Linked DNA regions of Cricetulus griseus. The protein of the gene in region 1 binds, or shares a complex with, the protein of each later gene. Links are inferred from orthologs where the notes say so. Each region holds a gene or a part of one and is shown in the gene's direction. Other genes may lie near its edges. The genes, in order: Snrnp200, CUNH9orf78, Sf3b5, Crnkl1, Rbmx2, Gpkow and Bud13.

Region 1 (4,190 bases):
AATAATAATATAGAATAAAATAATAATAAATATAATATAAATATTTTGTTAGTAATATGTTAAGATATAATATATAAATATTCTATATATTATTTGCATTATAAACATAAATAATAAATATAATAATAATAACAACAATAATAATAGCATGCAGAGAAGTCTCTTCAGAGCAAGTTTGTGGCCTACCTGGACTCCAAAAGATCTTTTCTCAAAAGCCAAAGAAGGGCTGGAGTGATGGCTTAATGGTTATGAACACTTGGCTGCTCTTTTCAGAGGACCTAGGTTTCAACCCCACCACCCACAAGGCAACTCCTAACCTATCTGTAGCTCCAGTCCCAGGGGATTTAATACCTCCTCCTGGCCTTCTTGGGCTCTGCGCATACATGACACACAAACATACATTCAGACACAGATATACACGTAGCCAAAACACCCATATACATAGAATAAAACGAAAGTAATGATAAACAGATTAAACAATAAAAATTGCCAGCAAGATGGCTCAGTGGATTAAGACACAGGCCTAAGGGTCAGTTGTGCTTATTAAACCTAAAGGGAAAAGTAGAAATAGCTGTTTTGTTTTCAATGTAGAGAATTATTAAAAGATTAGATACCGCCATTTCATAAAATGTATCATTACTGCTTAATACATCTGAATAGTATATCTGAATAGACTTTTCATATATTTCTTTAGTAAATGTAGCGTTTGTGCCACATTGAGAACAAATAATCCGTATCTATAATCCTGACATGGACTGTGACAGATCATTGGGTGCAAATATTTCTTCCTTCACCTTCAGTCAGCTGCCACAGCGATTGACTCTTGAGGAAAAGCGTTGGGGGCAGCAAACATTTCCCCAATTTCTCAATACAGAAGAGAAATCCAGTCAGTTATTAGAAGCATGTTAACTTGCTCCTTCAACTTTCTCATCCTTAATAAACGGAGCTCCTAAGCTTCCGTTTGCCTGCAAGCATGCCTGCCTGCCTGCCTGACGGGACCGCTGGACTGAGAAAGCAAAAGTGTATTACAGAAAGGGACTTTTAACACCACACTAAAAGTGGCTTCGTGACTCTGCGTACGTATAGGTCCTTGGAACCATATTGCGCAGGAGCGTGTTTCCTAGGTCCACGGAATCCCTGACCCGGATGTATTACCTTCTGCAACCGCCACCTAGTGGCGGTGCGTAGTCGCCGGAAAGTATCACTTTTAGCGTACGTCCCGGAAGCGGAAGGGAGTCCGTTGCTTTTCTCTGTCCCGCACGTTTGTCCTGCGTCGTTCCTGCTGGGCCGGCGCGGTTTGTTGAGGCGGTTCGCAGCGTGTGGAGAGTGGAACCCTGAGTTCCCGGAGCATCGGCAGCCATGGCGGATGTGACTGCCCGCAGTCTGCAGTACGAGTACAAGGCGGTGCGTGAAGTCTCGGCGGAGGGCTGCGGGCGAGGGAGGCCGTGGGTAGCCACAAACACGGACGGAATATCTGATCTGGGTGAAGGCTGGATTAAAACACGACGGAATAACTCTAGTGGGGTTTAGGGCGCGTGAGGACTCGGGAGGTTTTTTCCCAGTCTCCTCAAACCGCCCCTTCCTACTCGTTATCCCCAAATCTGCTCAACACTTCACCTAATGTGGGTTATTGTGACTACTGTTAGGAACGTTGATCGTTCACTTTACCAGACAGTCCGGTGCTTGGCGTTTTATTATACTGTTTCTTCTTAAGGGGATTATTCCTTTTTCCCAGTATTTTTCCATCTTCAGGTGTCACTGTGATAACAGGAACCGAAGCTATTTATATATTAAAGTTTTGATTAAGTATGATCTTTTCAGAACTCAAATCTTGTGCTCCAAGCTGACCGCTCACTTATTGACCGGACCCGCCGGGATGAACCGACAGGAGAGGTTCTGTCCCTGGTTGGGAAGTTGGAGGGAACTCGGATGGGAGATAAGGCTCAACGCACCAAACCACAGATGCAGGAGGAAAGACGGGCCAAGTAGGTACCAACGGGGTGTTATATTTTCCTTGTAGTCTAAAGCGCATCTTGAACATTTGAGCAGTAGTTTTGATGAAGTACCTGTGGAAGATCAGCGGTGTTTGCACAAGAGAATGAAAACCTCTTCAAGGTTTAAAGTTTCTTTGGACTTGGGTGCAATGAAATGGAACAAAAATCTATTAGTACTTTTTGTTTCTGATTCATAGGTAGATGCTAATTTTCTTCAAGCTATTTTTTTCTTAAAAATCTGTTTCATTTTTAATCATGTGCATGTGTGTTTTTTTGTGAGTATGTGCACATGCATCCAAATGCCTGTGAAGGCCAGAAGACAGTTTGGAACATAGGAGCTGGAGTTTCAGGCAGTTGTGAGCTACCCAGTTTGGAGGGCTGGGAACTGAACTCTGATCCTCTGCAGAAGCAGTATTGCTTCTAACTACTTGAACCTTCTCCCCAGCCCCGTCACCAACTATTTTCCAGACCCTTGTTAATCTCTTGTCTCAGCAGTTCAGCCCCACTACCACTGTTAAAAGCTTCTTACCCTAACTCCCTCCGGTTGTTGTCCACTTCCTGATGCTTTTGTTTTGTTGTCTCTCCCGTTTTTTCATCTTGATAGATCCATTTCAAAAGTTGCATGTTCTCCTACTGTGCTTTCTTTCTCCTTTTTCTTTCTGTGAAGTCTTAACAGTCCCCAGGCCCTGTTTAGTTTGAGTGGTTATAATTGGGGAGAGTTGTTGAGACTTGAGAGAATTGTTAAATTTGAGAAGAAACATTCCTTGGTCCTTCACTTTTCAGAATCTGGCTTCTTTTCTAGCTGTTTATTGGGAGTCATAGAAGTAGATTCCCCTGGAGCCTAGCCTCTCTGGCTAATAAAAGGTTTTGTTTGTTTGTTTGTTTTTTAAAGTTGAAATACCATTATATTATCTCCTCATGAGGATAAAGAAATAAATACTTCTTCAAATGCTTAAAGTCAAGTGGGAATTACTTATTTTGATTCATGTTCCTGCTTGCACATATTAGATGTATAGAAAAGGTAAACTTCGGGGGTGGGGGGCAGGGGAGGAGGAGAGGGAGAGGGAACTGGGATTGACATGTAAATGAAGCTGGTTTCTAATTTAAAGTTGGTCTAATTGCAATTATAAAAAGAAAAGAAAAGAAAAGAAAAGAAAAGAAAAGAAAAGGTAAACTTGACTTGGGGGCGCAAAGTTCTCCCATTGAGCATCACACCCTGTGTTCATTAGGAGAAGAAAGCGTGATGAGGACCGGCATGACATCAACAAGATGAAAGGTTATACGCTGCTGTCAGAGGGCATTGATGAAATGGTGGGCATCATCTATAAGCCCAAAACTAAGGAGACGCGAGAGACCTATGAGGTGCTGCTCAGCTTTATCCAGGCTGCTCTTGGAGACCAGGTGAGGCTGGAACCAGAGGATGAGGCCTTGTGTTTGGAAAGAGAAAGGGTGATGCACAAGAATTTTGGTTAAATTATTAGTTACAAATATTTATTCTGTTTGTGGAAATCAGGACAACTTTCATCTGTGTGGGACTCAGAGATCAAACCTAAGTTGTTGGCCTTGGTGGAAAGTATAAGTTTGTTTTGCTTCTGAAAAGCATCTACCTAATCCCCCCCCCCCCACTTCTGGGGACTGACTCCAGGATCTCTCATGCTTTGTTTTTGTTTTTGTTTTTGTTTTTGTTTTTTTTTTTTTTGTTTTTTTTTAAGTTTTTCAAGACAGGGGTTCTCTGTGTAGCTTTGGAGGCTGTCCTGGAACTAGCTCTTGTAGACCAGATTGGTCTCTAACTCACAAAGATCTGCCTGCCTCTGCCACCTGCCTCTGTCTTCCGAGTGCTACGCTTAAGGGCATGTGGTACCACTGTGTTAAATCCTCAGCAGCTCCCTATAGTCTTTAATTTTTATCTTTTGGTTTTTCAAAACAGGATTTCTCTGTGTAGCCTTGGCTGTTCTGTAACTCACTCTGTAAACCAGGCTGACCTCAAACTCAGAGATCCTCTTGTCTCTGCCTCCTGAGTGCTGGGATCAAAGCTTATTTTTTAAATTTTATTTTATTTGTTTGTGTGAGACAAGGTCTCATGTAGCTCAAGCTGACCTCAAACTCACTGTGTATTCAAGAATAACCTAGAACTTATGGTCCTGTTGTTTCTCCAAGTGCCAGGATTACTGGCACATTGCCATTGTATCTTGTTGA
Region 2 (4,093 bases), about 91 Mb from region 1:
AATCCCACAGCTGGGAAAACTATGCCCCCACCTGAGCTCCCCTTCCCAGCTGTGTAACTTGAAGCACAGGTTACTTCTCTAAGCCTCAGCCTTCTCTAACTTCCTCAGTTGGAAGACAGACCCAACTGCATCTACTTCGTGAGATTAGACCGGAGACTTTTAGGAGAGAATGCTTAGCCCTGCCACAGTTAAGAAGTGCTTTGCTCCAGAGGAAACTAGTAATTAAGGAGTCCCTATAAGTCCCATGTGAGCCATTACGCATGCACTTATCCATCTCCTAAGTGTTTATGGATACCTTTGAAAGCTAACTACTCTCGCAACATCTTGGCGGTGGAAGGTGTGTAGGACAGAGCGAGTCCTCCAGGCCAAAGGAGACACCCCGAGCTCTCGAAGGGCAGTCCCCGGCTTCACACCCTTGGAGAGGCCTCTGAACGTCAGTGGCATCCCTCCTAGGGACCAGTAGCAGCAGACCACCCTGGTACGGGGGAGTTGGTATCGGGACTGATATTCACCCCCGCCAAGGCGCTCAGCTTTTGTCCGTGAGAAATAAATTTGCACATCTGAGGCCCAGAGCCCGAGTGGCCTCGCGCTGGCCTTCCGAGCGACGTGCGGCCTGCTCAGGAGAAGCCAGGGCCGTGGGGACTTGGGGCGGACACAGGAGCCGGTCGATGGGAGGGTGGGCGGCGGGGACCTCTCCCCAGATCGCGGCTGCCCCGCAAAGCCAGGCCTCCCCAGTTCGCAGCGGCGGCGCGATCGTCCCTGCTCTAGCGGCCCAGCCCACCGCACCAGGCATCAGCCGTCCGGAACTCACCTGCCGTCGCAACCGCGCCGCCTGTCAGTCAAGCGCGCCCACCGCGACGCCGCGCAGAGTCTTGTGGCTCTGCCTGTCGTGCCCCGCCTCCCTACCGTCAGCTGTCCAATCGAGAGAGCCTATGCCAAGGACGGGGCGGGGTCACATGGCGCTGCCTACTAGGGGGCGGGACCGTGCGTGCTGGGGGCGTGGCCGTGCGAGTACTGAGTGCCCATGCATGCTGGGAGTAGGGGGAGTGGCCGTGCTGCTGGGGCGTGGCCACGTGGTTCGAAGACTGTCTTGCTGGTGGAGGGCACAGTCTCGGCGCTGGGGCGTGGCCACGCGGCTGTACCTGCCCTTGCTTTTTGGAGTTGGGAGCTGGTGGCTATGCTGCTGGGGCGCGGCCTGGACACCCGGAGGCGGGTCTGCATGCAGCCGGCCCTCTGACGACACTTCTGCGCGCCGGAAGAGAAAGAGGTTCCCGGCACTACGCGGCAGGTAACGCCGCTCCTAAGATCTGGTGCCGCTATGCGGATCACTGGGAAGACTTTCCGCCGGCGGCGGGCTGACTCGGAGTCGGAGGAAGATGAGCAGGAATCAGAGGAGGTTCGGTACGTGTTTGGCATGACCTCCACGGCCCAGGAAGAGGGAAACAGCCTTGGGACTGGCTACCGGCCGGCACTGCGCTGACACCACTGACCGGGAGCCAGGGTTGTTGTCTTTCAGAGGCTCCTGCTGATAAGGCCACATTTCCCCGGTCCCGAAGCTCGGAAAGGTGCTCCGGGGTCGCATGGGTCTGACTGCCGGTGATCCACAGTGCCAGGGACTCGGCCGAGAGACACGGATGTCCCCGGAACTGAGTTAAGCTTTGAGTTCCGCAGAGGATCTCTCAGCCTGTGCATTGCTTTTTATTCATTTCCCCCCAGGTTAAAACTTGAAGAAACCCGAGAGGTGCAGAACTTAAGGAAGAGGCCAAACGGGGTGAGGTGGGTACCATGGGGGTGGGGGTGGCGTCATTTATTGATGACACAGATACTTCCAGCTAGGGTCTCAGTTACAAATATCTCCTTCGACATAGTTCTTTCTCTAGACATACACCTTGCACTGGTCGAAGAGGGGACCAGTTTTTTTTCAAATGTGTAACTGCCACATGCCCTGAGCCTGGTGGTATCAGAGTCTACTCCAGGTCACTAATTGCTTTTTGGTTTTTCCAGACAGGGTTTCTCTGTATTGCTTTGGAGCCTGTCCTGGAACTTGCTCTGTAGACTAGGCTGGCCTCGAGCTCACAGAGATCCGCCTGCCTCTGCCTCCTGAGTGCTGGGATTAAAGGCATGAGCCATCACCACCACCCTGTTGCTAATTGGAGTTGTTTTTTTTGTTTTGCTTTGTTTTTCAAGATTTTATTTATTACTTATACAGTGTTCTGCCTGCATGTATACTTGCACACCATTGCAGATGGTTATGAGCCACCATGTGGTTGCTGGGAATTGAACTCAGGACCTGTGGAAGAGCAGCCAGTACTTTTAATCTCTGAGCCATCTCTCCAGCCCTAATTGGAGTTTTTAATTGCACGGATGAATTGTGAATGACAACGTGTTGACAGATAAGAGTTTAGAAAAATTAGAGAAGTATAATTAAGAAATAAATGATTTCTGTGGTGGTTGTTGGTGCATGCCTCTAATCCTAACCTGGGAGTTTGAGGGCAACCTGGGTTATATAGACCCTATATTTAATTAAATATAGACCCTATATTTAAGAACTTTGTGGGAGCCGGGCAGTGGTGATGTGCACCTTTAATCCCAGTGCTCTGGGAGGCAGAGGCAGTCAGATCTCTGTGAGTTTGAGGACTGCCTGGTCTACAAAGCCAGTCCCAGGATGGGCTCCAAAGCCACACAGAGAAACCCTGTCTGGAAAACCCAAATTATACTGTGATTTCCAGGCTAAAATGAAATCAAATGGCTATGCAGGAACATGCACAGCTGCTTCCTTTGCCTTTCACCCTCCCACTCAGTGTGCTGAGCACTGTGTTCTTTCCTACCTACTCTTGGGCATGCCCTTCCATCAGTGCTCTAGCCTGCAAACCTGATTGTCCCAGATTGCTTCCTATGCTGTGACCATGACACAAAACCACTTGCAGAGGAAAGGTTCTGATTACATTCAGTTATTGGGGGAAGACAAGGCAGGAACCCAGAGGCAGGAACTGTAGCAGAGAGCATGGAGGAGCACTGCTTACTGGCTTGCTTCCCAGGTTTACATTCAGCTGTCTTATACAACACAAGACCACATACCCAGGGGGAAGGGAGCCCTGCACACAATGGCCCTCCCACACCAATCACAAGTAAGAAAATACTCCTCAGGCTTGCCTACAGGCCAACATGATAGAGGCATTTTCTCAATTGAAGTTTCCTCTTCCCAGGTGACTCTGGCTTGTTTCAGTTGACAAAACAAACTAGCCAGCATATTGATTGATTTCCTTCTTGTCTCTGTGTCATTTCTTTGTCTGTTTTCTTTTGCTCAGTGCTGCTGCCCTGCTGGTGGGAGAGAAGGTTCAAGAGGAGACTACTCTGGTGGTGAGTGTTGTCTCCTCTCTGGGGCTGTTCTTCTGTGAGTGTGTCTCTAATGTATAACCATGCTGCCAGGGAGATGGCTAGTCAGAGTGCTTCCTGTGCAAGCACAAGGGTCCAAGTTTGGATTCCTGGCACCCACATGAAAAACTGAGAATGGTGACACATCCCTATAATCTGAGCACTGGGGAGGCAGATTAGGACGATGTGCTGAATAAGAAAGCTAAGATACCCTCTCTCAAAGTATAAGTTGGGGGAATGGCTTTGTGGGTAAAGTGCTGAAGTTCTTGCTGCACAAGTTTGGGGACCTGAGTCAGGCCCCTAGTACCCAGCACAAAAGCTATACATGATGGCATCCATCTGTAACCCTAGCAAGGTTTGGAGTAGAGACAGTTGGAGCCCTGGAGCTGACTGGCCAGTGAGTCTACCCAAATCAGTAAGTTCTCTGTCTGAGATATTTAAGGTGGAAAGTGATTGAGGCAGATGCCTGACTTTGGGCTCTTGCCTCCACAACCACACATGCATACACACAAACATGTATATACACTGTCCACACACAAAACTAACAAACATGGTCACATACAAAGTAAGAAAAGCTGGGTGGTGATGGCATATGCCTTTAATCTCAGCACTTGGGAGTCAGAGTGAGAGACCAGCCTGGTCTACAAGACCTAGTTCCAGGACAGCCTCCAAAGCCACAGAGAAACCCTGTCTAACAAAAAACAAAACAAAACAAAAC
Region 3 (2,661 bases), on another chromosome or scaffold:
CTCAATCTCATAGAGATCCACCTGCCTGGGCCTCCTGAGCGCTGGGATTAAAGGTGTGTGCCACCACTGCCTGAGGCATTCTTAATGGCACTGGAATTGCACTAATTTTTGATTTATTTCTTACTAACAGAATTTTCATGCAGATTCTACTTGTCTTAGTTGAAGTTTCTCTTGCTGTGACAGAACACTATAATTAAAAGCAACTCAGGGATGAAAGATTTATTTCATTTACTCTTCCGTATCACAGTTCATCATCTAAGGTAGGCAGGGCAGGAACCTGAAGGCAGGAGCCAATGCAGAGGCCATGGAGGGGTGCTGCTTAATGGCTTACTCTTCGTGGCTTTCTCAGTCTGTTTTCTTATTCAATTCAGGACTACCAGCCCAGGGGTGTCCCCACTGTAATAGGTTGGGCCCTCCCCTATTATCAGTCTCTTTGACTGAGATTGCTCTTTGTCCATTCATCAGATTTTTCTTTTAAAGAATACGATCTCCATCAAGCTATATAATATCCTCAAAGGATATCAGAAAAGAAGTACAGTATCTTTTTCTCAAGTAGTTTATACCTTTGTGAGGAGATACATAACCTCTAAGTTGAACATAAGGTGTAACCAGGCAGAAAAACAGAAGGAGAGAGTACTTGTCTTGAGACACAACTGACTTCCAGAAAATGATTGTAAGCAGCCTTAAAGTTAGGAGGTTGTTTGGTTGGAGGGCTCGGGCCCCTGGGTGGTGTGAGGAGTTGGAGCCTGGATTTTGATGTGGAAGACACCTGGTGTTGACACTCATCACCAAGCATTTAGGACCCAAAGAACTTTTCCCACTACCCAGATCCTAAGGGACAAAGCTGGGACCAAGGGCGGTCCGTGTGAGCTTCTAGGTACAAGAGATAGTTTTCCTGGTCACTTGTAGTCGTAATCGTTGGACACCATCCTACATTAGTCAGGCAAAAAAAAAAAAGAAGAAAAAAAAGGAAGGAAGGAAGGAAGGAAAGGAGGGAGGGAGGGAGGAGAAAGAAAGAAAGAAAGAAAGAAAGAAAGAAAGAAAGAAAGAAAGAAAGAAAGAAAGAAAGAAAGAAAGAAAGAAAGAAAGAAAGAAAGAAAGAAAGAAAGAGAGAGAGAGAGAGAAAGAAAAAGAAAACAAAAAACCAAACCAAAAGAAAAAAACACGCCAAATTCTTTGGACTACAAATCCCAGAATGCAACGCCGGAGTTAGAACGTGATCACCCAAGAGCCACTCAGCAGACCATCATGCAACGCTCTCCAAGTAGGCGGGCTCGCTGAGGGGACGGCCCAATGTTTCTTAGGCAACTCCAATGCCGCGGCAGGATTCACTTCCGCTTCCGCCTGGGAGAAGAGCGTCTGCGCAGGCGCCACAGTGGCGTCTTTCTCCCGCGCCTACACAGATAGAAGTTCCGTGTCGGGCCGGCAGCGGCGGCGGCGGCGTCTCTCAGGTTTGAACGCGGAGCGGGTAGCGTCGGGTCTGCGGCCTGATCTGGAAGCCTAGAGCGGAGCGGCGAGATGACGGACCGGTACACCATCCACAGCCAGCTGGAGCATCTGCAGTCCAAGTACATCGGTACGGGCCACGCCGACACCACCAAGTGGGAATGGCTTGTGAACCAGCACCGGGACTCCTACTGCTCCTACATGGGTCACTTCGACCTCCTCAACTACTTCGCCATCGCCGAGAACGAGAGCAAGGCCCGCGTGCGCTTCAACCTGATGGAGAAGATGCTGCAGCCCAGCGGGCCGCCGGCGGACAAGCCCGAGGAGAACTGAGGCGAGCGCTTCCCAGGCTCCCCCGCCGGCCAGCGGTGGGCCGGTCCTCCTTGCTCGGGCTTCTTCATCGTCTGTCACGCCTGGCCTGCTTACCTGTGGACGATTCCGAACAAGTCACCGAGAGACTGTCGGGACCCCCGGGAACTGTGCGGGAGGAGCGACCCTAGACCCGGCAAGCGAGGGAGAAGACGCCACGGGAGTGATGACGCGTTTCTAATGAGTCTGCCTTTCAGTAGTTGGTTGTCCTTCTTGCCATGTTTATAAAGTTTAGGATTTGTCCTATCTTTTGGTGTGGATTGCTGTGTTCCTTGGGTGGGGTCTGGGGAGGGTGCTGTGGACCAAGGTCTCAAGATGTTGCACGTTGCATCTGTTTTTCTTGAGAGTTAGTCTGTGTGTCTTCAGAAATGAAGAACGGATTTTTTTTTTTCATTCAGTGTTCACCAGAGCGTTTTCCAAAGGTTTGGGGGCATACATTATGCCAATTTGGAGAAAGGCTAAAATAGACCAGGGCTAGATGATGCAGGGAGATTGAGGAAGCTTGAAGAATTCGCAATTTTAAATACTATGCTTGTAATGCTAAGATATTGCGATGATGACATTTGAGAAAAGATTTTACGGAATCCAGAGAAAAACCGTGCAGAGCATGGGAAGTTGCTTACCATCTAATAGGGCATTCGTTGGTGTGTTTTAAGTTACTGAAGGAACACCAAAAAAGCAATGAGTCGCTGGGAGTGGCACACACCTCTAATCCCAGCACCCAGGAGGCAGAGGCTGAAGGATTTCTTGAGTTCAAGATCACATGAAAAAACCGGTAAGAGCCATTCACTGAGCGTTGTGGTACACGCCTTTAATCCTAGCACTCCAGTACTCTGTAGGCAGAGG
Region 4 (4,375 bases), about 18 Mb from region 1:
GAGGATCTCTGTAATTCAAGGCCAGCCTGGTATACAGAGTGAGTTCCAGGACAGCCACAGTTGTTACAAAGAGAAACTCTGTCTCTCAGAAAACCAAAACCAAACCAAACCAAAACAGGTGAGTAGGCAGGCGGATCTCTGTGAGAGGCAGGCAGATCTCTGTGAGTCCGAGGCCAGTCTGGTCTCCAGAGTGAGTGCCAGGATAGGCTCCAAAGCTACACAGAGAAACCCTGTCTCGAAAAACAAACAACAACAACAACAAAAACCAGATGAGTATTGACAGATGTATGCTGGGGATGGGGGGATGAAAAGGTGGTACCCAGGAGATTATGGATGCTTGGAACTCTGCAGATTATTCAAACATCAGGTACAGACTGCTTTGCCTTTGTCCTAAACAGTAGACTGTACAAGGGTGAACTGTATGAAACATAGTCACCTTTAACTGACAATGTGTTGATGAAAATTCACCGATGCTGACAATGAACCTCCCTGGTGGGAAATGGATAGTGGAGAGCTCTTTGGAGGTGGGCAAGCAGGGAGCAGGGAAATCTCACCCTCCCTTGAATTTTACTTTCAACCCCAAATTTCTTAAATTTAAAAAATTCTCTTAACTATATGCCCAATCATTCTGTTTTGAAGGTACATCAGATATTATACTTACTAACATCTAGTGAGCACTTTACATAGGCTTTTCAATCTTTTTTTTTGGTTTTTCGAGACAGGGTTTCTCTGTGGCTTTGGAGGCCGTCCTGGAACTAGCTCTTGTAGACCAGGCTGGTCTCGAACTCACAGAGATCCTCCTGCTTCTGCCTCCCGAGTGCTGGGATTAAAGGCGTGCGCCACCACTGCCCGGCAGGCTTTTCAATCTTAAGGAAATAGTTATTTCTATCTTTTTATCGCCAAAGGGCATTAAGGATAACGGAATTGAAATAATGAAAACAAATTCACACACTAAAAATGTACACATCAGTTTCTGACCATAGGGTTAGGTGTTTTGCTACTGACGTATTTCCATCTTTCCTTAACATCTGGTTCCAAAACTACCTCTTTTTATTTAAAAATCCACGTTTCAAAGCTTGGCCCAATAGCGGAGAAGCCAGAGACAGGGTTGGAGGCGGAGGTAGTGGGGTTGGACTACAAAGCCCAGCATGCACCGCTGCTCCGGCAGCTGCTAGCCGGCTGTGGTTTCCTTCGTCGCTCTTCCCTCCTCCACCGAGTTTCCACATCCGAGATGGGCTCCCACGTCCCTCGCAGGTGCCACTGCCACAGATGCACGCATCCCGAAGACAGATCTGGCTACGCCCTCGCCTCCCGGGCCCTGCGACCCTGCGGCGCAGCCCACGATACCCACCTCACCGGCAGCTCCTGCACGCCGTGTGGCTCCACAGAGGACGCGCACACGGTTGCTACGGAAACGACGTGACGTTTCGCCCGACTCGTGCGGCGGTCAAAGAGCGTCTTGCGACTTCCGCTTCCGGTTCCGGGATCTAGTTTGTTGTGGGCAGGTTCTCCGGTGTGGGCTGGTTCTCGAAGCCGATTTTTGAGGTTCAGGAGTGAGTCGGAGTTGCTCCGGTCCAGCGGCTGCAGACATGGCGGCCTCTACGGCGGCCGGGAAGCAGCGGATTCCCAAAGTGGCCAAGGTAGGCGACCGCGAAGGGCCCCAAGCAGAGCATCTGTGGTGTGGTGCACTGGAGACTCGGGGCAGCGAGCTCTTTGCCTGCCTGGGTCGGTGGCGTGGCGCGGGGGTCTTGTCACTCCGAGCTCGTCTCGTGTCTGCCCAGCCTTCGTTCTAGGATGGTGTTTTTGTAACGCGGGTGACCAGTTCGGTTAAGCAAACTCTTAGCTTTGCTAGGCTCTGGGGACCGCCCCCCCCCCAACACACACACACTGCTGGAGTAAAACAAGAGGAAGGGCGAAATGGCAAGTTTGATGGAGGTACTCAGGCACCGTAGACCATGCCATGGGCAAGAACCAGAGGGTTGTCAGTAAACTTGAAGGTAAACTTTGTGGAGGAAGCTGAAACTTGAAAGCTGCGCGAAAGTTGGACAGTGGAGGGGATGGGAGGAATGGGCTCTGTGCAATGGCATAATTTAAGTTAAACGGTAGATTATTATATTTCCAACGGTGACTAATATTTCACCAATGCTTGATAAGTGGCAAGTCGTGCACTTTACCTTTACGTATGGTCTTCTCTTGTCTGATTCTTATACGTGGCCTTTTTATTCTGAGACAAGTTCTCATTTCCACATGTAATTATTGTAAAAGTCTAATGTGGGAGCTTTTTTCCCATCCTGAGTCATAAAAGCCAGGGTGTGCTGGCTAGGTTTTTTGCCACCTTGGCATAAGCAACAGTTATCTGCGGAGAGGAACCTCAGCTGATAAAATTCCTCCATCCGATTGCTTGTGGGCAAGTCTGTAAGGCATTTTCTTGGCTAATGATAGATGTGAAGGGCCCAGTTTTCTCAGGGAGTGCTACACCTGGGCAGGTGGTCCTCAGTACTGTAAGAAAGCAGGCTGAGCAATCAATCCAGTGGGCAGTGTTCCTAAATGGCTTCTGTATCCCTTCCTGCCCCAACTTCCCTTCATGATGGGCTGTGATTCAGTTGTGTAAGCCAAATAAACTCTTTCCTTCCAAGTGCTTTTTTTTGGTGATGTTTAATCACAGCAGTAAAAAAGCAAATTAGAACAGTATTCTTGCACTTAAGGTCCATCTAAATCTGAACACGCTTGGCTTGTACCTACTGTGTTGAACAACAGAGCTGTGTGTGCTCAAGAAGTTTACATGTTAATGACTGGAACTTAATAAGTTACAGTTGACTTAAAATGTCATGGGAACGCCAACTTGTCCACTAAAGGGGTTAAAATAAGTAGGGGAATTCTGTAAACAGGTTATAACGCTAGAGAGTAGTACTTATTTTACTCTTCTAACAGGGAAAAATGCTGCTATTTTGTCAGCTTTTCCTTTTGAGATTTTCACTATGGACTTGTTATCATAGATGTCATACATTAGATAGAAAATGCAGGATGCCCCACCTCCACCCTCCTTCTGTCTCCTGGAGAATTGAGCATGTCATTCAAAGAGGTCAGGTTGTCCTCATACTTACAAAGTTCACATCCTGGAAAATGTTCGTGGGTTTTCAAATCTTGTGTGGAGAACACTACCCAAAATAGAAATGTCTTTTTTTTTTTTTTTTTCCTTAAAAGGTGAAAAACAAAGCGCCAGCCGAAGTACAGATAACTGCTGAGCAGCTCTTAAGAGAGGCTAAAGAAAGAGAACTCGAGCTCCTCCCACCTCCGCCTCAGCAGAAGATCACAGATGAAGAAGAACTAAACGATTACAAGCTACGAAAAAGGAAGGTGAGTCTGTTGGGAGGGCACCGAGCATACCTGTCCATGTCACCACTCACAGTAGGAGCCAGGGCCCAGGAGAGAACTCAGAGAGAGCCCATGTGATTTGACCTCAGGCTAATATTTGGGATTATCTAATCCACTAATATTATGGAAGTTAATGTCAAATTCTGTGAATTACTGAGAGCACTTGAAGGTAATGTTAAAAATTGTTTTCTTCTTAGGAATGAGAGTAGAGTATATTAACGTACTAGTTGTTGTTATGGGCAACAGCAAAAACTACCAATAATTCTTCCAGTAGTTCATTACATCTACAGTTTTTTTGTTGTCTCCATAAACTTTAGAGATTGTATAAATAGTGATATTTATAGTGATAATAATTATAAGATAGTGATTTGTAACCATCTGTAGTGAGCTTCGTTTCTCAGCATCCAGGATATAATTTCTCTTAAAAAGAATGAAATGAGTGACTTTTATTGCAAGGCAAAAGGCGAAGTCATTTTTGCTTTAATATACTACCCTACCCCCATTTTGCCTTTCAGACTTTTGAAGATAACATAAGAAAAAATAGGACTGTGATTAGTAACTGGATAAAATACGCACAATGGGAAGAAAGTCTAAAGGAAATTCAAAGGTAAAATTGCCATGTGTAGTATTTGCATATAAAATAGTATCAACTGTCCTGTGAAAAAGTAGGAAAAGTCAAGCATTGGACTGTACTGTGTTTGAACCTCCCAGCTTCTGTTCTGTGGCATCTTCACATTCTTCTGCGGGTGCTGAGGACACTGGGAAGGACAGCCACGGAGTATCGCAGGAGGTTCTGTGTGTGTGTCTTGCCACTAGTACCCCTGTAACTAAAGAAGCAGGGTTTTATCTGTCTTCTCTGTGTTCATGTTTCAAAAATAGTGTTGTGTTGAACTCTGTTGTCAAGATTAAGATTGTGGCCTTCACTTCCTGTTGAGCAGCCAGCCTCTCTACACTCCCCCTCATAACCTTGCTCTGCTGTGACCATGTCCCTGCCAATTCC
Region 5 (4,369 bases), on another chromosome or scaffold:
ACCAAGGAAATAAATTTGTCAGTCACCAAATAAGTTCACTATCCATAGTCATCAGGAAAATGAAAATTACAAATAATGAAACAAAATTTAAATAAGAAATAGAAATTACTACTTTGAGATACCACCATGAGATGTCACTGTCAGAGTGGCTATGGTCAATCAATCTGAAAACAAATGTTGGGGAGGATGTGGAGAGAAAAGAACCTTCATTCTCTGGTGGGGGTGGGTGAAAACCAATACAGCCATTGTGGAAATCAATCTGGAGAGTTTTCAAAAAACTAAAACTAGAACTACCATACGACCCTAATATTTCACTCCTGGGCTTATATCCAGAGAACTCCCTGTCATAGAGATATTTGCATCCTCATGTTTATTACTTCTTTATTCACTATAGTAAATAATTAGAATCAGCCTAACTGTCCATCAACATAAGAATAGGTAATGAAAATTTGGCATATATGAAAGGTGGCAAACTATTCAACTATCAAGAAAAAATAAAATCACAAAATTTGTAGAAAAATGGATGCGATTAGAGTGTATTAAGTGAGGTCATACAATCTCAGAAAAACTCTGCATGTTTCCCCCTTATATGCAGAATTTAGCTAACAATATACACATATACGTGAACAAATGTACATGTGAGTGCCATGTAACATGAAGAAAAAAGAACAAGAAAGGCTAAATATTAGGTGAGGATGGACTGAATGCAAGTAAAAGGGGATATAAATCAAATTCTTATAGCTCTAATGATATCATATTTTTTGGTTTTGTTGGTGGACAAGTGAATAAAAATATATTTGATAGTGACAGCCTAAAATCCAATGTGAAGTTCCACAGCTTCTGTTCTCAATGCTATTCTAACAGTATAGAAGTCCATTTGAGTCTTTGGGTCTGGTTAATTTCAGTGTTTAACTTGCAATCGTTTTTGAAATAATGAAGTTTAAAATAAAAAAAAAATAAAGTCAGTTAATCCAGTAGGGCGTGTTGATCACGAGACAGGGTTTCTCTGTAGCTTTGGAGCCTGTCCTGGCACTCGCTCTGGAGACCAGGCTGGTCTCGAACTCACGGAGATCCGCCTGCCTCTGCCTCCCGAGTGCTGGGATAAAAGGCGTGCGTCACCAAGGCCCGGCGTAAGACCACATTTCTTACGTAAATCTGTGGGTATTTAATTGGGTCTGTAGAGGCACACTGGTCCGTCTTTAATATTCGAGCGGGGAAACAATTCTCATAGCTATTTTCTTTACTTTTCTACTGTTAAATCCCAAACAGGGAGGCTTTGAGGGACTATTTTTGAGCAATTGCCATGGAGGGAAAGAACAGGGCTTTAGATTGAGAGAACAGGGAGTTTCGTCACCCTATCAGACACACTACTTCATTCAGAAAACGTTTAAAGCTAAATCAAACAAAAACTATCCAGAAGCTGAAGGTCCCTTAAAACCCCGGACCCCGCCCCTGGTCTACGTCACTAGGGAACTAGTTCCCTGACTAACTGACTGGAGAACTACTTCGCCACAGGAGCAAAGGGCACTAAGCGCGAGAAAGGCTTCCACGCTACTGCGCATGCGCCAAGTCTTAACGTGCCGGAGCGGAAGTTCCAGCGGAAGTTCCGCCTCGAGTTCGGCCGCCTCCAATCTGAGCTGGGTGATCGGTTGTGCCCGCCCTTCGTCGCCTCACCCGGAAGCTCATTTCTTGAGAGAAGAGCGCGAAGGCGCGAATATGAAGTAAGGGCTTCGTTTTTTTCGTCGGGAAGGGGGAGTGGGTTGCGGACAGTTGCCCACAAACGGTGACGGGTCCTCGCCGGGGCGGTGGGGCCTTCAGGCCTCGGGGCGGGAGAAGAAGGCAGGCTGGGAGGAAACGAACTTTTAACGAAGTCTTCTCCTCCCGCGCAGCCCTTTAACTAAGGTGAAGCTGATCAACGAACTGAATGAGCGAGAGGCTCAACTCGGGGTGGCGGAAAAGGTGTCTTGGCACTCGGAATACAAGGACAGCGCCTGGATCTTTCTTGGTGAGGGCCACAGTTTTCTCTAGCAGTGCCTTTCGGAGTCGCTGCGACCCACCCCCCTCCCGCTCCGGTTACTTAGAGCCCCTGCTGACCACGCTTGTCACCCACACAGCTTGTCTGCCCACAGTCCGTTTTTTATTCTCTTTTACTCGTCCTTTTCCAGTTATCTTTTCTGATAACCAGTGCTTTTTTTTTCTTTTTTTTTTTTTTTTTTTTTTTTTTTTTTGGTTTTTCGACACAGGGTTTCTCCCTGACTTTGGGGGCTATCCTGGAACTTGCTCTGGAGACCAGGTTGGTCTCGAACTCACAGAGACCCGCCTGCCTCTGCCTCCCGAGTGCTGGGATTAAAGGGGATTAAAGGTCTCGCGCCACCAGCGCCCGGCTTAGCCAGTGCTTCTTAGAATTGGTATTTACCATTCATTGCACTTAAAGGCTTTCCACTTAGCTGCCCAGAGACAGTTAACTCCACAGCCAACACATTACGAGGCCAAAGAAAGTGCGGTGCGGACAGGTGACTAGAGTTCTTTAAGGTTACATACTACATACTGCAGCACTATGAGATTAGTGGTCATTATTTTCATTTTTACTGTCTGCCCCTCCGCAAAACTATTTTCTCCTGTGATTGACTTTTGCTTCTAGTACTTTGCTGATTGTTGGGTTCCTGGACAGACAGTAGCCATCTGGAAAATATTTCGTGTGGACTCCTCACTCAAAATCAGCTTTACTCCTGCTTAAAATTTAGAATGTCATCTGAAAAGGTCGCGGTATCTAGGCGTGTTCATTAAGGGAAAGCTATACACCTGGTGAAAATACAGTCCACATTCCACTCTTGGTCCTGGGTGGATATGATGGGACATTTTAAGCAAACCTAACTGCCACATACTAGTGTGTCCCTTCCTTAAGACTTAATAAAGTTGGCCAGGAGTCACCTGTCAGGAAAGCTCATTCACCTGAAGACATGCTGAGGACATGGAAGGAAAATGATCCCCTTAGTGAAGCAATGTCCCGCAGGAGTTCCTCACTGCACTTATTACCTATTGCTGTTACATCTGTCTGCTGTTCTGACATCTAACTTATCCATCCCCTCCCTTTCTAGCCCTTCTTTGAATATTGTCTGAAATCCTGAGCATGCTTGCCCTAACACTCTGGACTTTTTCTTATTTCAAGTCTACAGGCTCTCCCGTTCCCTTGCAGCTGTTTCTTAGCCGCCATTTTTGAGCATGCCTGCCTGCATGGCCTTCTGATTAACTACGTATTTCTTCGTCTTGTCCATCTCCCTCCTCCCAGTAGCTGGTAAATTTTACAACTCACCTCCCCATCAGCTCTCTCTCAAATGCTAATAAAATGGATCTCAGGCTTCCTCAGTCTGTTTTAAAATTACTGACAAGACTAAGAGCCTACAAAGGGGAACTCTTAATATCTCTGGGAACAATATTACTATCCTTTGTTCACTTTATGTCACAACCAATAATCCTGCAGTTTGACTTTTGAAAGAGGCTATTTCACTAGATATTGTGTTAAGCATTTTATATGCACCGTTTTATTTTGTGTTTATAACATTCTTGTGAGGCAAATATACTGATAGCCCCTTTTTACACAGGAGGTAAAAAACATGGAAGGCAAATAATTTCCTGTGACTTGCCTAACAGTTTTCTTTAAAATTCTTAGTTTACACATAGGTGAGCATAACAATAGCATATTTGAACTCAATGTTTGTGAAATCTGAGTCTTGTGCAGGAAATTTTCTGTTTTATAGGAGTTTGGATGTGAGGACTGAATGAGATTAATTTGGAAGACAGGCGTTGGTGGCACATGCCTTTAATCCCAGCACTCGGGAGGCAGAGGCAGGTGAATCTCTGTGAGTTTGAGGCCAGCCTGGTCTCCAGAGCGAGTGGCAGGATGGGCTCCAAAACTACACAGAGAAACCCTCTCTCAAAAAACCAAAAAAAAAATTAATTTGGTAAGTGGTAACCCCTTTCCACTTAGACTTAATCACTTTTATTCCTGTTTTTGGAGACAATCTCATTTTGTAGTTCTGGCTGTCCTGGAACACACTCTGTAGACCAGGCTTGCCTAAAACTCACAGAGATCCAAGAGTTAATTGCTTTTCTGCTGGACTGTTGTCACTTTTCATCCTCTGTCATTGCATTAGACTGATTTTTGTGAGTTCAGGGCTTACTCACTCTGCACCTCCAGTATCTGGCCCAGTGCATAATATGCAGTAAACACTTGATTAATGTTTGCTGACCTGAACTGTGCTTTGTTTTCTTCTAGGAGGGCTTCCTTATGAACTGACAGAAGGAGACATCATCTGTGTGTTCTCACAGTAAGTCCTCTTTCATTTCCTACCTTCTGGGTGCATAGAGA
Region 6 (4,168 bases), on another chromosome or scaffold:
TCTCATGTTTTTGATAATTTATAATATTGTTATGGAAAATCCCCAGGGTCATTTAGGTAAAAAAAAAATATATATGGGGGCTGGATGTGATGGCACATTCCTTTAATTTCTGCACTTAGGAGGCAGAAGCAGGCAAATGTCGGTGGGTTCTAGGCCACTCATTGCTTATAATGAGACCCTGTCTAAAAAGGGGAGAGGGAGGAATTTCAAAGAATATATATTCTGACCCTCCCAACCACCACCTGTTGTTAAGGCTGAACTTGCAACAACAGTCCTGCTCTCACCAAGAAAGAGAGAGAGGGAGAGAGAGGGTGGAAGGGAGGGAGGGAGGGAGGGATGGAAAGAGAGAGAGAGAGAGAGAGAGAGAGAGAGAGAGAGAGAGAGAGAGAGAGAGAAAGAAAGAAAGAAAGAAAGAAAGAAAGAAAGAAAGAAAGAAAGAAAGAAAGAAAGAGCTAGCACCCAGGCAAAGGGGTCCCAGCCTGGCAGTTCCCTGTCCTTTATGCCGAAGACCAGAAGACATTGCCTCATCCAAAAGCTCAGAAAACTGCAACATAGAAAGTATTCCAGGGCTGGAGAGATGGCTCAGAGGTGAAGAGCACCGGCTCCTCCTCCAGAGAACCCAGGTTCAATGCCCAGCATCCACATGGCAGCTCATATAGAGTTTGTCTTAGACTTGTGACAATTCCTCCTGCTTTGTAATTCCAGTTTCAAGAGCTCCTACACCCTCTCACAGACATACATGCAGGCAGAACACCAATGCACACAAAATAAAAATAAGTAAGCCGGGCGTGGTAGTGAACACTTTAAATTCCAGCCCGGCAGAGGCAGAGGCAGAGGCATTTTTTAAAGATTTATTTATTTATTGTGCATACAACATTCTGCTTCCATGTAGATATGCACACTAGAAGAGGGCACTAGACCTCATAATGGATGGTTGTGAGCCACCATGTGGTTGCTGGGAATTGAACTCAGGACCTCTGGAAGAACAGTCAGTGCTCTTAACCTCTGAACCATCTCTCCAGCCCGATTTTGTGTATATAAGCATTTTGCCTGCATTTATTTATGTGTGTCACCTGCGGAGTTCGGAAGACAGTGTCGGATCCCCTAGACCTGCATTACAAATGGTTGAAAACCTAGGGAGAATCAATCTGCCACCACGGTTATATCACTGAGAACTACATTTCCCAGAATGCGCGGCGCGGCGCGTTCCTATGACATTTCAAACCGTTTACCAGCGTGATCGGTTTTTCCCACGGCTTCAAGACCTGTCCTTGAGGCATTGCGTCTCGGCCGGCCCCTAGCGAATTGAGCTTAAACTAAACTTCCCAGCAAGCAGTGCGCTAGCCTGGGACTCGGGACAAGATGGCGGACCCAAACAGTGTGCCGCGGGCTGCCCCTTCAACGGCCCCGATTTCTTTCGGTTTCACTCGCACGTCTGCCCGGAGGCGACTGACAGACCCCAGAGATGGCACAGGACGGGCCTCTGAGGAGAAAGATTTCTTAACGACCGTGGAAGGAAGGGAGCTACAGAGGTGAAACGCTGGGTCTTTCACGTTTTGGAAATCGGTGCGGTGGGCGGAGGGCAGAATACGAGTTGTTTGCCCTGATGACAGTGATTTAGAAGGCCTCAAACACGGCCTCAAGAAGTTTATGGAGGCATCCGGGAGTGGTGGCAAATGTTTATTAATGTCAGGACCCGGGAGGTTGGCACCGGAGGATCAAGAGTTGAACGCTAGCCTGGGCTGTATGAGAGCCTATATTTAAAAAGAGAGAAAAATAATTAAAATTTAATTTATTATTAAATTTAATAATTTAAGGGCAAGGAGGAGGTTTGTTAGAGAGGTGGGTGAAAATGGCGCCTGATAACCAAAGGTATATATTCCTCAGAGAAAAAGTCATTGGGACTTGAGGACATGTGCGTTTTGAGAAAGGAAAAGGAGGGAGAATGACAAGACTTTTAGTGTCTCAACTGAAATAGTGGAAGCTTCTCCGATTTGGAGAATGCGGCAAATACAGGTTTGGGGAGGCCATCAGCAGCATAATTAAGAAACTGATCTGAAAGACCTAAGGGAGGGACTAATGGAAGACAGCTGTCCGGAAGGCTGTTTGCTAGCCTGAAACTGGGGAGAATCTCGACCGAAGATGGTGATTTGTAAGTCATTGTGGTTGAGAGTCCAGGAATGATTTCCATAAGACACATTTAAAGCTGAGGACACGAGGAGAGGTGATGCTTGCTTGTAATTTCAGCACTAAAAGGTTGCACCAAGAGGACAGAGTTTATAAGACCAGACTGGGCTACATAGTGAGATAACTGTTTCGAAAAGAAATGGGAGGACCTGCGGAAAAATAACTTGTGGAACATGGTCCTTCGGCTGGGTGTAGATATCTCCACTTTCTAACACTTGTACTTTCCTAACCTTTTCTCTCTGTCCCCACATCAGTGTGAACCCTCCAGAAGCCCCCAAGGAACTAGTCATCCCATTGATCCAGAATGGCTCTCGGAGGCAACCACTGGCCAAGAGCCCTAAGACATCCTCAGAAACTAAGACTGTATTAATGTCAGATGGTGTGCTGTCCCAGGCTGTGAAGGAGCTCATTGAGGGTAAGTGAAACCTCCCCCTTTGCTCTGCCCCAGTACAGGTAGACAAGGAGGAAGTTGGAAGGATAGAGTATGGCCTCATTGATCCTCCCATTCTTCCTTAGAATCCAAGAAGTCCCTGGAGGAGAGGGAGAATGCAGGTGTTGACCCCACGCTCACTATTCCCATGATCCAGAAAGGATGCAATCCCAGTGGGGAAGGAACAGACAGCGAACCTCAGGCTGAGACAGTGAGCTGCCCCTTTGCCATCCTCCCCCATCATTGCCTCTACCCCGTCTGGCTAGCCTCCTTGCACATAGCAGGGAAACTGTGCATGTGTGTCCCAGAGCCTTGCCAACTAGCCTTTCTCCCTTCCATCCTTATTAGAAGCTTTAACAAATAGATAGCAGGCTGTCCCAAAAAGTACTTGAATTCTGGTATTATCTGATAGAGGTGGACAGCAGAGTGGATGGGAAATACAAATGCTATCAGAGTACACACTGTTGGGAGGCAGAGGCAGGCAGATCTCTGTGAGTTCGACAACAGCCTGGTCTACAGAGTGAGTTCCAGGACAGCCTCCAAAGCCACAGAGAAACTCTCAGAAAAAAAGAAAGAAAGAGTACACACTCTTTGGAACCACTTTTGCTTGTTTCCTCTTTTTTTTCCTTCTTTCCTTGTTCTTTTTAAACGTGTAGTATGTAAAGAACTCTAAGGAAACCAGTGTGACTGGATTGGAATGAATGAGGGGTCAGGCCATAGATGAAGGCAGAGGTGACCAGATCAAAAGGGCCTTCTGAGCCACGGGGAGGACTTTTTCTTTTAGTGTGAGTGAAATGAGAGCTATGGGAAAATTCTGAGCTGACAAGGGTTGTAACAGGATCCCCTCTGGCTGCTGTGACCCAAATATGACTAATAGTGAAGGTAAGGAGGGAAGCAAGTAGCCTAAGTTCAGGATAGAGGCGGTAAGGACACTCAGAAGAGTGGCAGGAATGAAGCCTGGAAGGTTAGGGTCTGGTGAGACAAGAAAGAGATATGTCTCAGTACATTTTTGCTTTGTTTGTTTTTGTTGTTGTTTTTTGAGACAGGGTTTCTCTGTGTAGTTTTTGGAGCCTATCCTGGCACGCGCTCTGGAGACCAGGCCTCGAACTCACAGAGATCTGCCTGCCTCTGCCTCCCGAGTGCTGGGATTAAAGGCGTTCGCCACCAACGCCCCGCCAATAATGAAGTTTTTAGTCATAAATTTGTTGTAATACATCTTTCAACTGAACTATTCTCATCAGTCTTCAGATGTGCTTTGGGTTTTTTCTTTTTGAGACAGTTTTATGTAGTTCAAGCTGGCCTTGAATTCATTATGTTGCCAAGAATGACCTTGAACTTGTGGTCTTCGTTTCTCCACCAGTATCAATCAGGCTTTTTGTTCTCTCCACCCCACCCCTTTTTTGAGACAGGATCTCACTCTATATCCATGGTAGCTGTAAGTTTCCATGTGATTGCTGGGAACTGAACCCTGGTCCTTTGGAAGAGCCATCTCTACAGCTCCCTTGTTTTTTTTTTGTTTTTTTTTTTGTTTTTTTAAACAGATCTCACTTT
Region 7 (3,606 bases), on another chromosome or scaffold:
CTGTATGGGACCCTATCTTTTATGTATTTATTTATTTTGTGAGACAGGGTTTCTTTGTGGCTGGCTGTCATGGAACTAGCTCTGTAGACTGGGCTGGCTTCGACCTTACAGAGATCCACCTGCCTCTGCCTCTGGAGTGCTGGGATTAAAGGCGTGCACCACCTCTGCCTGGCTGGGACCCTATCTTAAAAAGAGAAAGAAAACATGCACATTCTTAGCCCCTGCTTTTATGTGTTGTGTGTTTGTGTTTGTGTTTACTTTAAAATTTGATAGTATATAGTATTTCATGCGATTAGAGATTTCTCTCCTATGGTGTGAGCCTATGGTCAATAATGAGAATATGAAACCAGAGGTTTTGGTTTGATTATTGATGATGATCAGACATACATGCAGCTGGCTGCCTCCTGTTTCACTGACATTGGCTGTTGCCTCTTCTCTTGGACAGGCTGTACACACATGTATTCCTCTTCTCTTGCACAGACTGCTCACATGTATTCCTCTTCTCTTGCACAGGCTGCACACATGTATTCCGGAGCAAAAACTGGGTTGGTAACTGATGTTCAGCGGGAGCATCAAGAACTCAAAAAACAGGACCAAGACACCACGACCCTTGGAGGTACAAACATGAGCATTCGGGGGCTTCGTTTGGCTCATGTAGCTCTCTGTCTTTTCTGTTTTTAAGTGTGGCATGTTGTATTTGCTAGCTGAAACTTTTCACTGCTTCCGTGTCTATGCTCTAATTTTTGTTTTTAAGTTTTTTTAAGACAGGGTTTCTCTGTGTAGCTTTGGAGCCTGTTCTGGAACTAGCTCCTGTAGACCAGGCTGGTCTTGAACTCACAGAGATCCGTCTGCCTCTGCCTCCCGAGTGCTGGGAGTAAAGGTGTGCACCACCACTACCCAGCTCCTGCTCTGGTTTTTGTGCATAGTCCAAGTGCTTCTTTCCCTTCCCGTGTGTGTATGTTAGACATACTGCAGACTTTTCACCAGCACCAAGATCTCAGGCAGCTGCTTCAAGTACTGGAGTGTTATTAGATTGTGATGCCTGGTGTTTATCTTAAAAATGTGATTTCCCTTCATAGCCCAGTTTGAATTTGCTGAAACTGTATTCCGAGACAAGTCTGGTCGTAAGAGGAATTTGAAGCTGGAGCGCCTGGAGCAGAGGAGAAAAGCGGAGAAGGATTCAGAGAGAGATGAGCTATATGCCCAGTGGGGGAAAGGGTAAGGGCGCCCTGAGCGAGGTGCTGAGTCTCCTGAGAGACCAGTTGAGATTCTGGGCTTTTTACCTTATTAGTTAGCCTCTGCTGCTACAAAGAGGGAGTTCTCCAGAGTAGCATTGTGATCCCTCAGTGTAGGAGGAAGTTGTCAACAAGGATGCTTTTTTGCCCAGGCTTGCCCAGAGCCGGCAACAGCAGCAGAATGTAGAGGATGCAATGAAGGAGATGCAGAAGCCTCTGGCCCGCTATATTGATGATGAAGATCTGGATCGGATGTTGAGAGAACAAGAAAGAGAGGGGGACCCAATGGCCAACTTCATTAAGAAGAACAAGGCTAAGGAGAATAAGCAAAAGAAAGGTGAGACTTGGAGTTGCTGGAGCTGGAGATGGTTGAAGAGAGAGTTGTCAGAGGGATATACATAGCTTCCCACAGAGGAGGCTGCCCACACAACTGTAATGCCTGTTGAAAGTTTGGGTTCAAAACAGTAGGCACTCTCATGAAGAATTTTCTCCCATTGCCATCCAGCTCTGAATCAAATTATGTCAGTAGCTAATTTCTTTTTTCTCATTTCTGTCTTTAGTGAGACCTCGATACAGTGGTCCTGCACCTCCTCCCAATAGATTCAATATCTGGCCTGGATACCGCTGGGATGGAGTGGACAGGTAGGTGTGATTCCTCTTGCTTTCTTGCTTTGTCTTCTCTTCTGCCTGACTTTCTTTCTTTTCTTTCTTTCTTTCTTTCTTTCTTTCTTTCTTTCTTTCTTTCTTTTTTTCTTTTTTGAGACAGGGTTTCTCTTTGTAGCCTTGACTGTCCTAGAACTCGATCTGTAGGCTGGCATCAAACTCACAGAGACCCGCCTGCCTCTGCCTTATGAGTACTGGGATTAAAGCTTTGCACTACCACTGCCCAGCCTTCTTCTGCCCTGGTCTTAACTTTTCTTCTCTGTTTTTCTTTCCACCTTTCCTTTGGTCTTTGTTTTTTTTTGTTGTTTTTTTTTCCAGATATCTGATATCGTTTAAAATACCATTTATCACTATACTATATACAATATTTATGCTGCTTGATGTGGTGTCCTGTGGTCTTTGTTTTTGAGAGTGTCTCACTACATACCCAGGCTGACCTCCAACTCATGCACCACGTCTTCAAACATTAGTCATGGTTAGTATTTTCTAAGGGTTAGAGGACAGGTGAGGCTTGTGTGCTGGAGCCCTCTCTGAGTTGTGTCTTCAACATTAGTTCTCTTTGCTGTCCTAGGAGGAAGTCCCTGGTAATCTCTCAGCCCTGCCACCTCATCTGGTTACTCACTAGTGTCTCACTTGTATACTCAAGCTTCCTGACTGTCAGGACAGCTTTTGCCTAGGGTCTTCCCTTGCCCACACTGAACATTAGCGTTTAGTGTCATGATTTCCAAAGTTTTAAATCTCAGGACCTTTTATGCTCTGTGCTAGTGTTTTGGCTCTGTGAGTAAAGGCATTTGTTGCCAAGCCTAATGATGTGAGTGCAAGTCTTGTTCTCTTTCCTCCACACACTAATTTGAGTGTGGGTGTGGGTGTGGGTGTGTGTGTACGCACCTGTATGAACAAATAGATAATTTTAAAAGAATTTTAAAATTCTGTTGAGGATTCCAAGAAGTTTTTGTTTTGTGGATTATATATTTATAGTCACTATATTTAAAATTATTATTATTTTTTTTCCGAGACAGGGTTTCTCTGTGTATCTTTGGAGCCTATCCTGGCACTCGCTCTGGAGACCAGGCTGGCCTCGAACTCACAGAAATCCGCCTGCCTCTGCCTCCCGAGTGCTGGGATTAAAGGTGTGTGCCACCAACGCCCAGCCAAAAATTAAAATATATTTTAAAAGCACTTATTCACTATATAAAATAGTAAAGCTTCTATATGCTAATATAGTTACTGTTACTTTTAATGAAAAGCAGTTATTTTCTAAAAAAAAAAAAACCAGAAGGAGAGAATTGATTTAACTTTTTGTAAATATAATAGACAACTGGGTTCTGAATTTGTGTATTGTGATGTGTTTAGCTGGGGTGCAGGAACAAAGTACAGCCTGCCATATCACCAGCAGAAAAGGGAGGTGCGACAGAAAGAACAAGCTAGCTCCTTTAAGGCTGTTATGTGGGTCTGAAACATGTAAAGAACTTTTGATACTTTTGCATTAAAACTTATGATTATTGTGCCCCCCCCCCCCTTGAGACAGGGTCTCTCTGTAGTCTTGGCGCTCACCTGGCTCTCACTTATTATAGACCAGGTTGGCCTTGAACTCATGGAGATCTACCTGCCAAGTCCTGGGGTTAAAGGCATGTGCCACCATGTCAGCATAATTCATGGTCTCCCTACCCTCCCACCCCTCTTAAATTTATTTTTGCGTGTGGTTGTT

The links.
Region 2: the proteins of Snrnp200 (region 1) and CUNH9orf78 are in contact, whole or in part, in a cryo-EM structure (PDB 7OS2), measured with the Homo sapiens proteins. The link is inferred for Cricetulus griseus from reciprocal best matches to the Homo sapiens genes SNRNP200 and C9orf78. Residues at the interface, in NP_054733.2 of Homo sapiens: Val1188, His1189, Leu1190, Gln1191, Glu1201, Pro1283, Ser1285, Arg1287, His1288, Leu1289, Asp1729, His1730, Asn1769, Tyr1770, Asn1772, Gln1774, Gly1775, His1780, His1784, Leu1788, Gln1791, Asp1795, Gln1798, Ser1799, Tyr1826, Thr1827, Glu1830, Leu1831, Met1834, Ser1835; in NP_057604.1 of Homo sapiens: Arg5, Lys6, Ile7, Phe8, Arg9, Arg10, Arg11, Glu16, Ser17, Glu19, Glu21, Asp23, Ser24, Glu25, Val27, Arg28, Lys30, Leu31, Thr34, Arg35, Val37, Gln38, Arg41, Arg43, Pro44, Asn45, Gly46, Val47, Ser48, Ala49.
Region 3: Snrnp200 (region 1) and Sf3b5 share a complex: the UniProt entries of both Homo sapiens proteins name them as parts of the minor spliceosome. The link is inferred for Cricetulus griseus from reciprocal best matches to the Homo sapiens genes SNRNP200 and SF3B5.
Region 4: Snrnp200 (region 1) and Crnkl1 share a complex: the UniProt entries of both Homo sapiens proteins name them as parts of the minor spliceosome. The link is inferred for Cricetulus griseus from reciprocal best matches to the Homo sapiens genes SNRNP200 and CRNKL1.
Region 5: Snrnp200 (region 1) and Rbmx2 share a complex: the UniProt entries of both Homo sapiens proteins name them as parts of the minor spliceosome. The link is inferred for Cricetulus griseus from reciprocal best matches to the Homo sapiens genes SNRNP200 and RBMX2.
Region 6: Snrnp200 (region 1) and Gpkow share a complex: the UniProt entries of both Homo sapiens proteins name them as parts of the minor spliceosome. The link is inferred for Cricetulus griseus from reciprocal best matches to the Homo sapiens genes SNRNP200 and GPKOW.
Region 7: Snrnp200 (region 1) and Bud13 share a complex: the UniProt entries of both Homo sapiens proteins name them as parts of the minor spliceosome. The link is inferred for Cricetulus griseus from reciprocal best matches to the Homo sapiens genes SNRNP200 and BUD13.

The regions. Positions count from the first base shown.
Region 1 is NC_048599.1:51,367,672-51,371,861, reverse strand, and holds the start of Snrnp200 (U5 small nuclear ribonucleoprotein 200 kDa helicase), read left to right. Parts: upstream 1-1,359; coding exon 1,360-1,404; intron 1,405-1,821; coding exon 1,822-1,985; intron 1,986-3,223; coding exon 3,224-3,395; intron 3,396-4,190. UniProt on the Homo sapiens protein: Catalyzes the ATP-dependent unwinding of U4/U6 RNA duplices, an essential step in the assembly of a catalytically active spliceosome. Plays a role in pre-mRNA splicing as a core component of precatalytic, catalytic and postcatalytic spliceosomal complexes.
Region 2 is NC_048599.1:142,695,069-142,699,161, reverse strand, and holds the start of CUNH9orf78 (telomere length and silencing protein 1 homolog), read left to right. Parts: upstream 1-1,234; 5' UTR 1,235-1,318; coding exon 1,319-1,401; intron 1,402-1,716; coding exon 1,717-1,776; intron 1,777-3,308; coding exon 3,309-3,360; intron 3,361-4,093. UniProt on the Homo sapiens protein: Plays a role in pre-mRNA splicing by promoting usage of the upstream 3'-splice site at alternative NAGNAG splice sites; these are sites featuring alternative acceptor motifs separated by only a few nucleotides. May also modulate exon inclusion events.
Region 3 is NC_048595.1:275,868,314-275,870,974, reverse strand, and holds Sf3b5 (splicing factor 3B subunit 5), read left to right. Parts: upstream 1-1,369; 5' UTR 1,370-1,518; coding exon 1,519-1,779; 3' UTR 1,780-2,063; downstream 2,064-2,661. UniProt on the Homo sapiens protein: Component of the 17S U2 SnRNP complex of the spliceosome, a large ribonucleoprotein complex that removes introns from transcribed pre-mRNAs.
Region 4 is NC_048599.1:33,081,331-33,085,705, forward strand, and holds the start of Crnkl1 (crooked neck-like protein 1), read left to right. Parts: upstream 1-1,465; 5' UTR 1,466-1,589; coding exon 1,590-1,640; intron 1,641-3,204; coding exon 3,205-3,357; intron 3,358-3,890; coding exon 3,891-3,982; intron 3,983-4,375. UniProt on the Homo sapiens protein: Involved in pre-mRNA splicing process. As a component of the minor spliceosome, involved in the splicing of U12-type introns in pre-mRNAs.
Region 5 is NC_048604.1:20,792,287-20,796,655, reverse strand, and holds the start of Rbmx2 (RNA-binding motif protein, X-linked 2), read left to right. Parts: upstream 1-1,521; 5' UTR 1,522-1,560; coding exon 1,561-1,721; intron 1,722-1,889; coding exon 1,890-2,005; intron 2,006-4,276; coding exon 4,277-4,328; intron 4,329-4,369. UniProt on the Homo sapiens protein: Involved in pre-mRNA splicing as component of the activated spliceosome. As a component of the minor spliceosome, involved in the splicing of U12-type introns in pre-mRNAs.
Region 6 is NC_048604.1:114,159,086-114,163,253, forward strand, and holds the start of Gpkow (G-patch domain and KOW motifs-containing protein), read left to right. Parts: upstream 1-1,280; 5' UTR 1,281-1,362; coding exon 1,363-1,532; intron 1,533-2,441; coding exon 2,442-2,602; intron 2,603-2,703; coding exon 2,704-2,828; intron 2,829-4,168. UniProt on the Homo sapiens protein: RNA-binding protein involved in pre-mRNA splicing. As a component of the minor spliceosome, involved in the splicing of U12-type introns in pre-mRNAs.
Region 7 is NC_048597.1:158,032,464-158,036,069, forward strand, and holds part of Bud13 (BUD13 homolog), read left to right. Parts: intron 1-513; coding exon 514-616; intron 617-1,079; coding exon 1,080-1,218; intron 1,219-1,387; coding exon 1,388-1,572; intron 1,573-1,795; coding exon 1,796-1,877; intron 1,878-3,606. UniProt on the Homo sapiens protein: Involved in pre-mRNA splicing as component of the activated spliceosome. As a component of the minor spliceosome, involved in the splicing of U12-type introns in pre-mRNAs.